2 linked regions of the Nothobranchius furzeri genome follow. The protein of the gene in region 1 binds, or shares a complex with, the protein of each later gene. Links are inferred from orthologs where the notes say so. Each region holds a gene or a part of one and is shown on either strand. Other genes may lie near its edges.

Region 1 (4,281 bases):
GTAGCGAGTGAGCTCCTCGGCTCAAACTCTCTTCGGGACGGTTGCAGAAGCAGTGCTTGTCCGGGACTTCAGCAGGTCTCAAGAGCGTTTATTATTATTTTTTTGCCGCTGGTGGCAGCTCTGTGTCGGCCAAGGACTCTGGCTGCGCAGCAGCTGACGTACTGAAAACAAAAGTGCTCCCAAAGGAGCGAAGTAACGTTTCGTTTTGATACCAGTGCAGCCATCCTTCTCAACATGCATCATTGAGTTGAACCAAGTTCAGTAATCGCGGTGGCCCATGATGCAGCGCGGTGGGCTTCTTCATATTGCGATATTTCATTTTTGCGGTTACCGCAACAGCCCTAAAAGGCTTTTAGCACTTCTACTTGTTGTGGTTTTAAAGACGTGTCCAAGTCATTTAGAACAGAGGAAAGAGCCGCAGTGAACTCCGCTTCAGTCGCCATGTTTATGACAAACTCAGCGTTATGGTGTGTGACGTACGCTACTCAGCGCTGATTGGCTCGGTTAGAATTCTCAGGGGGTGGGGTTATTTGAATAGGAGAGTTCCCAGACCCTTTCTCTGTGCAGAATTAAACAGAGGAGGAGTCTGGCAGGCCAGGCTATATCTCCAGTAGTCAACGAGCAAAAAGGCGGGGTACACCCAGGACAGAGTGCCAGTCGACAGAAAATCATGTTCCACAAAATGTTGCCAATAATAGCAGAACAAATTGCAATAATGTCCATTGGCTTTGGAGACAGCTCTTCACGGAGCAAAGATGACATTCTTTATGTATTTAAAATACCACCTTATGAAGAAACAACGCTGTCAGCTAGTCAAAGACAATGTACATTTTTTTTAACTGAAGACTGACAGCAAGAAATAACTAAAAAAGGCTATTTTGACCAAATATCAACTTGGTTTAAACTTTTTCTCCCTTTAAACAGACAGAAACACAGAAATGGAAAAAAAATTGATTAACTGAAAATCCTCGGAGAAAGAACTAAAATGAATAATGAATCTAATCCAGCTACCTGAACCAAAGAAAACATAACTTTAACAGAGTTTTTTAGTCTTTTTGTGAGTCCAACAAATTTCATCAGCAGATATATCGAATGCTTCAATCAATACATGAAGCTCCATGAAGCAAAAGCTACATATTATAATTAAAGCGTGCTGTCATTATGTTTTATCTAAGGAACAGGGAGAAACATGATGGCAATAATGATGCTAAATAAGATGATGAAAAATAATTAGGAATCACAAAAATTAAGGTCCGATGTAAAAAAAGGTTTAAAATAAAAGGGAAACGATGTAGCTTATGAGCTAAAAAAAAAGGAGGCTTTACCTGGTGGACTGCATCTGCCTGGTTGTCTCAGGATCCTCAAACATCTTCACTATCGGTTCTGTCTCAGACTGAAGCTGCTTCAGCTGGGCTACAACCTCTGTCCTCTTCTCCTTCAGCGCTGATAGAGGATGAAGGAAGATTTTAGCTACAGCAGCATCATAAACCAGCATGCACACGATCTAGCCTCTCATACCGGAAACATTGTAAAATAAGTTGACTGCTTAATCAATTCCAAATGGAGTGAAAGACCAGCAAGTAGCTCTTTATGACATCAATAAAAATATACAAAATATACTGATGGGTTCTCTACCTCTGGAGAAAAGGGGATGTGCAGTGTGTGTCCAAAAAGCATCAACACTTACTATGAGGGATTTCCTTCTCAGGGTAAAGGTTTCTGTACACATCCATGGCAAAGTCCACCATGTTTGTGTCACTGAGGAGGTCCAGTTTTCCATGAAGCAGTTCATCCTCGTTGTAGATCTGAAACACACATCATCACACAATAGGACTTTAATATGAAGCAAATAAACTTATATTCGATTGTTACAAAATGCAAGTTATTTCCTAGAAAATATACTTTTTTTAAAAAGCCTTTGTTGCTCCTTTTCTTAAACTTGTATGTTCATATGAGCACCGTTCTTTAAAGTTGACACTAATTCATCACATTGAACCACTGAAGAAAGCAGCATTAAAGTAATCATCTAATTTGATGAACCTTTTTAACAGAAAGCTAAAATGTTCCAAACTACACTCCCAACAAACTATTAAAATGAACTATCGACATGTGATCACTTTAAATATTTAAATTTAGAAAACGTGTGTTGATAAAAGTTACTATTCTCGGTGTGCTTTATCGTTGACTATTTGTGTTTATGTTTTGAAAAACCACCGAAAAATAACCAATTACAACAAATGTCTATGTTGAGAAACGCGCATTTCTGTTAGCTTGGTAAAATCTAGCTTGCTATAATGCTACAAAAAGAAACTACAACTTCCGGTATTGACAACAAAAATAAAGTAAACTAAAGAATTCGCACGTGGATTTTTTTAAATAAGCGTTAACATTTATATACCAATGTATATAGAAACTACTTCAAGCATTGAAACATTGAACAGCACTGTATATTCTCCAAGGGGTTAGTAAAAATGCTCATCTCTCTGCTTTTATTTTTAACTCAGCTGTTTCTATTTCCGGTTAAAAATGTGTAGCATTCGAACACGGACAGACAATGTGGCCAGACTCGACGTGCTTCAGCGTATAAATCTGTTTAAAAAGCAAATATTGTTTCGTAAAAATACCAACAGCTTGTGAAGAAATGTTTTAAGCTGAAATATTTCGTACCCCTTTGACGGACAGGAACTCCAGAAGTGGAAAAACGAGATGACGGTCTAAAAAGTGAGCAATCTTAGTGGTGAGGTCGTACTCCGCCATGTTTGCTACGGGAAAGAGGAAGTGGCTGAATGATGCAGTTACGTACAAGCATACTGACCAATCAGAGACAAGCTCAGCATCCTTTAAAAAAAAAAGAAGAAAAAGACGAACCTGCTGCTTCCATAGAATGTATACAGTAATAATAATATGTTTATATACATATCAGTGCCTGCTTCTACAGAATGCAACATGAGCTTAGAAAATGTGTCACTGGTAAAATTTAAAGTGAACAAATTAATGAGAGTGAAATGCTAATAACATTGATTTGTGTACGCGTGTGGGCATGCAAGTTTCATGTGCTGTCCATTACAAAGTATTTCAATAAGTCTAGACATTAATACATTGAATATGCGTCTCACTCCCCCTTTTTTATTCTTTTGGTAATATTTGTTACATTTCCTGTACAGTGTAGCTGATTGAAAATGCTTGTTGATTTATTTATTTTTTTTACTTCACAGATTTGTCCAAATGATGCATGGCTGTAACACTTGCATTCCCATGATTTGGTCAGTGTTGATGTGGTAAAACATTAACCTTTTCCAGATGTATATAAAGTTTGTTGGAAAGAAAAACATACTTTCTTCCAGGCACCACCGATACGTCTACTAAAACTTTTTCATGAAGCTGAAACCCTTTAAGGGCAAATATTGACATTATTCGTCATCACGACTCCTCGCTCACAGGCCTGCAGTATTATAATGAAAACAACCAGTCATTTTCAATCATGTGACTTTTGCAAAAGGTTAAAATGACCATCCCTCTTTGTCCTCTTTAATAACAGTTACTGGCACACAAAGATGCCTATGTGTTGACCATATCCTGCTGAAAACAGCTAATTTTAACCACCAAATGGCTCATCTCCAACACTTTTCACTGCTACATTGTTTTCTTGACAACCACACTGCACTGTCTTGTGTCCTCACACAATTCTTCCCTTGTTGGCTCTGGCTTCTCTCCCTTCAACCTTCATCACTCTCCACTGACTGATGGCAGGTAGAAATTAGTCATAAAATGACACCACTCATTGTGTCCTGTTACTGTTTTACGGGGTGTTTTTTATAGAAGCAGCATCTGTTCAGCTCCAGTCCTGTGTTAAATTTTGAAAAAAATGGAAAGGGAATTGCAGCGAGAAGGTCCTGGGTTCGCTTCCCGGCGGGGGATCTTTCTGCACTGAGGTTGCATGTTCTCCCTGTGCATGCGTGGGTTCTCTCCAGGTACTCCGGCTTCCTCCCACAGTCCAAAAACATGACTGTTGGGTTAATTGGTCTGTCTAAATTGTCCTTAGGTGTGTGTGTGTGTGTGTGTGTGTGTGTGTGTGTGTGTGTGTGTGTGTGTGTGTGTGTGTGTGTGTGTGTGTGTGTGTGTGTGTGTGTGTGTGTGTGTGTGTGTGTGTGTGCATAATTGTTTGTCCTGTGTGTCTCTGTGTTGCCCTATAATGGACTGGCTCTCTGTCCAGGGTGTACCCCGCCTGATTGCCCATTGACCACTGGAAATAGGCACCAGCCCCCCCCGCTACCCTACGTG
Region 2 (4,138 bases), about 51 Mb from region 1:
CCCCGGTTCTCCAGCAGCTTCACTGGCTCCCAGTTAAATTCAGGTCCATCTTCAAAATTCTCCTTCATACCTTCAAAGCAATCCACAACCTCTCTCCTCCATATATCTCAGACCTTATAAGTATTCACACCCCGTCCCGTTCACTCAGATCTTCTTCTTCCATCCATCTTGCGGTTCCTTCTGCCCGTCTCGCTACCACGGGGAGCAGAGCTTTCAGCCGCTCTGCTCCTCGACTCTGGAACTCACTTCCCCCAGACATCAGGAACGTCGACAGTTTTACCCTTTTCAAAACAAAACTCAAAACACACATGTTTAAATCTGCCTAAAACCTCTGATTTTATTGAAATGTTTCTCTCTGTTGTTTCTTCTTTGGGTTTTATTATTGTTTTATTGTATTTTATTACGTGTTTTGTGTAAAGTGACCTTGGGTGTCCTGAAAGGCGCTTTGAAATAAAATGTATTATTATTATTATCATTATAAATCGTCTTTATTTGTATAGCGCCTTCTTAGGGTTCTACAACCCCCCCAAGGTGCTTCACAACACAGTCATTCACATATTATTGCTATTTTTTAAAGACAACATAAGAACCTCTAGTTTTATATGAAATTAATTCTGCACACGTTTTGTCTGCACCTGCTACTGCTGACAGTTTTTCTTTCCTGCAGCGTTGGAACAAATCCTGATGTAATGACGGTTTTCTTATGTTGATATGACCTATCAGGAAAAACAAACATCTTGTATTTATTATTATTATTGTTGTTGTTGTTGTTGTTGTTATTATTATTTCATAACTATAATTGCTATGACCCAAAATCTATGCTGGAATAGTGATTGAGCACTTTTGTAAAAGTTCCAGTACTTTTATTGCTCCACTGAAAACCAGATTGAAGTTTCATTTCATTTGTTATTTTTTTCTCATTCTGCAATTTCCTTCATCACTAATTCACAACACACTCATCAAGTACAATGTTCCAAGTGAAAAAAGAGAGACAGCAGGGAGGAGGAAGAAGTTAATGTTTTCTATAATATGTGCATTTTTTCTTTGCTTGTAATGAAATAAAAACGATCTAATATTGCCACTGGGGTGATTTGTAAACTCATCATACTTCTTTTGACTTTTGAGAAATTTGACAACAAATGTGTAAATCTGATGCTCCTAATATTTTTAAGCACAAATACGAATTAAGTTACCACAGAATTCACATTAAGAATCCACATGAGAAGTTATTTTCATAACAATAACAACGAATTTTTATTATGCAATTTTACGATTTTGTCAACAATTTTTGTCAGCACCAAAAATAAGCTCTTATTTTGAAAAAGTCTGACGAGTTGTGCCTTTATTGCGAAGTTTTAACCTCCGGAAGTGCGGTGCTCGGTTCGCGCTGGTTCTTCCGAAGCTAGGCTAGCCGAGAGGATGCCGTCGATTGAATACGACGAGTAAGAGTCTAAATGAAACGTAGGGTTTTTGTGTCTTTATTGAATGCGTGTAACCGTTGTAATAACGAGTTTGTGTGATTCTATTCTAGCTCAAAGCCCAGCTGGGCTGACCAGGTGGAGGAGGAAGTAGATGAAGGTAAACAGCATTTTAGCTTCGCTAGCTAGCTCGGTGGCAAATGTGACCTAGAGGGTTGGATGCTTAAGATCCTAAAACCGTAGGTGATAATAACCCTTGATGAAAACAGCAGAGGCTTATTCACAAGTTTAACAATTTTTATTTATAGATACAACCCAGGTCGGGATAAAAAGTAGACTAAAAACTCTAAAACACGGGAGGGAGGAGCGACGACAATGCTGGCCCTGGGACTACACACGCAACGCCATCTATTTCTATTTAAAAGCACAAAGCCGCTGTAGGGACCCGAGACAAGAGACAATAATATAAAGAAAAACACTCAGTGCTCCCCTGACCCGGTTACACAAAGGAGGCCGGTGTTGCAGTTCCACGTGGTTGAACAGCATTAAAGACGAGCTAAAATATGCAAGTTTGTTAAATTTTATAAGAATCTGCCCTTAAATCAGTCATGGGTTGGCGTGACTGAGAGACGAACGGCTTAAGAAATTGCGTTATGATAATGAGGCAGTGGTCCCCTGACAGTGACGTAGGGGTGTAAAAACAGTCAAGATAATGATGCTGACGGAAACTAGACTGATTAAATATTCATAAAACATTTAAAGTCGTCAACTGTTCCAGTTGATGTGAAAACGAAGATGTGACGTCACATCAGGAGCATCCTGATCCTGACAGTTCAGATCAGTCCCAGATAAACTCACATTTAGTTGAAAGTTATTAAAGTATCCCCGGATGTTAAGCTTATGGTTGTTTTTCGTGCATCTGCGAATGTTGTATACCTTTATCTTGATTATATTCTTACTTCCCATATTTGCTGTTTTCTTACTTTAATCGTTCTTTTTTGCACAAAGTGCCGCAGCAATTTCCTAATCTGATTTCTCGCACATATGTCACTAAAACCCTAATGATTCTGATCCCATAGGCACATTACCATCACCAAAGGAGACCATCAAAGGAAACATCAAAACAATCACTGAGTATAAGATAGATGATGATGGTAAAAAGTTCAAGGTACTTTGTTTATGTTGCATCAATAAATTTAAAAGGCAAATAATAAATGTCTCCTGAAATATTATAAGTGAAACATTTTGGTTCTCTAGATTGTGCGGACCTTCAAGATCGAGACGAGGAAAGCCTCAAAAGCTGTTGCCAGAAGAAAGGTCCGTGTTTTATTAAATCATATCAGTGCAGTTAATAAATGAACCGCCTTCTGATATTTACCACTCTCATTTCAGAACTGGAAGAAGTTCGGCAACTCTGAGTTTGACCCACCGGGTCCTAATGTTGCAACCACCACTGTCAGCGATGACGTCTTCATGACTTTCATCTCCAGCAAGGAGGTACAGGATATGTCCAAGTTGCTGTTTTCCTTCAGAACGCAAAAACGAACAAGAACATTCTTTAGGAAATGTTCTAATGGAGCATCGATAGTTCGCAGCAGGTTTAAAATGCTGCTTGCACTACTTTTTACAGCTTGCTTGGTGTTCACAATTACCACATTCAACAGCTCTAGATCTTCTCATTCTGTAATGTGACTCAGAATTTATGAAGTTCATGGCTGCAAATTTGTAATTTTTACTGTAATCAAGTTGTTTTATCAAAGTTGCTAATCTTGCTTTTTTTGCAGGACCTGAATGCCCAAGACCAAGATGAGGATCCAATGAACAAGCTCAAAGGGCAGAAGATTGTGTCTTGTCGTATTTGTAAAGGGGACCATTGGACGACCCGCTGCCCGTATAAGGACACGCTGGGCCCCATGCAGAAGGAGCTGGCTGAGCAGCTTGGGCTTTCCACTGGAGACAAGGAAAAGACTGCTGGTTCTGGTACCATTATCACCATTCTCATTACCACACTTGTCTGCTGCTGCTAGTTTCTAAAGGTGTGACAGTAATTGTGGCTTTTCCTAGCTGAGCCAGAGCCTGTTCAGCCTGCACAAAGCAAAACTGGAAAGTATGTCCCGCCGAGCCTGAGAGATGGAGGCACAAGAAGAGGGGAGTCTATGCAGCCTAACCGCAGAGGTCAGTTTGTGTTGGTATGGGTGCTACATTAGCAATATGTGGTCATTTTTAATCTGGTCATGCAGCGTTGAATAAACGTCTCAGTAAAACGAATCATTGCGTTTAACAGCTGATGACAACGCTACCATCCGTGTGACCAACCTGTCTGAGGACACTCGTGAGACAGACTTGCAGGAGCTTTTCAGACCGTTTGGTTCCATCTCAAGGATCTATCTGGCAAAGGACAAGAACACGGGACAGTCCAAGGTTAGTGCTCACCTTAGGGGTGACTGGGCTTTACAAGTGCTGGCCTTTCACAGTTTTTCTGCAACCTGCTGTTATCTACCATCTAGGATTTGAGATTGACGCTGAAAAAATCAAGAATCATCAGTCAGATTTTTTTTTATTGCTCTGCAGGGATTTGCCTTCATCAGTTTCCACCGTAGGGAGGATGCTGCCAGAGCCATAGCAGGAGTGTCAGGATTTGGATATGATCATCTTATTCTCAATGTTGAATGGGCCAAGTAAGTAAATTATCACTGTTGTCAGTAAAATGATCAGTGTTT

What was found.
Region 2: eif3ea (region 1) and eif3g share a complex: the UniProt entries of both Homo sapiens proteins name them as parts of the eukaryotic translation initiation factor 3 (eIF-3) complex. The link is inferred for Nothobranchius furzeri from reciprocal best matches to the Homo sapiens genes EIF3E and EIF3G.

Annotation. Positions count from the first base shown.
Region 1 is NC_091745.1:54,014,676-54,018,956, reverse strand, and holds the start of eif3ea (eukaryotic translation initiation factor 3 subunit E-A), read right to left. Parts: upstream 2,801-4,281; 5' UTR 2,758-2,800; coding exon 2,668-2,757; intron 1,806-2,667; coding exon 1,688-1,805; intron 1,444-1,687; coding exon 1,326-1,443; intron 1-1,325. UniProt on the Homo sapiens protein: Component of the eukaryotic translation initiation factor 3 (eIF-3) complex, which is required for several steps in the initiation of protein synthesis.
Region 2 is NC_091745.1:3,309,795-3,313,932, forward strand, and holds the start of eif3g (eukaryotic translation initiation factor 3 subunit G), read left to right. Parts: upstream 1-1,338; 5' UTR 1,339-1,419; coding exon 1,420-1,442; intron 1,443-1,531; coding exon 1,532-1,578; intron 1,579-2,497; coding exon 2,498-2,586; intron 2,587-2,675; coding exon 2,676-2,735; intron 2,736-2,810; coding exon 2,811-2,915; intron 2,916-3,202; coding exon 3,203-3,398; intron 3,399-3,482; coding exon 3,483-3,593; intron 3,594-3,702; coding exon 3,703-3,839; intron 3,840-3,989; coding exon 3,990-4,096; intron 4,097-4,138. UniProt on the Homo sapiens protein: RNA-binding component of the eukaryotic translation initiation factor 3 (eIF-3) complex, which is required for several steps in the initiation of protein synthesis.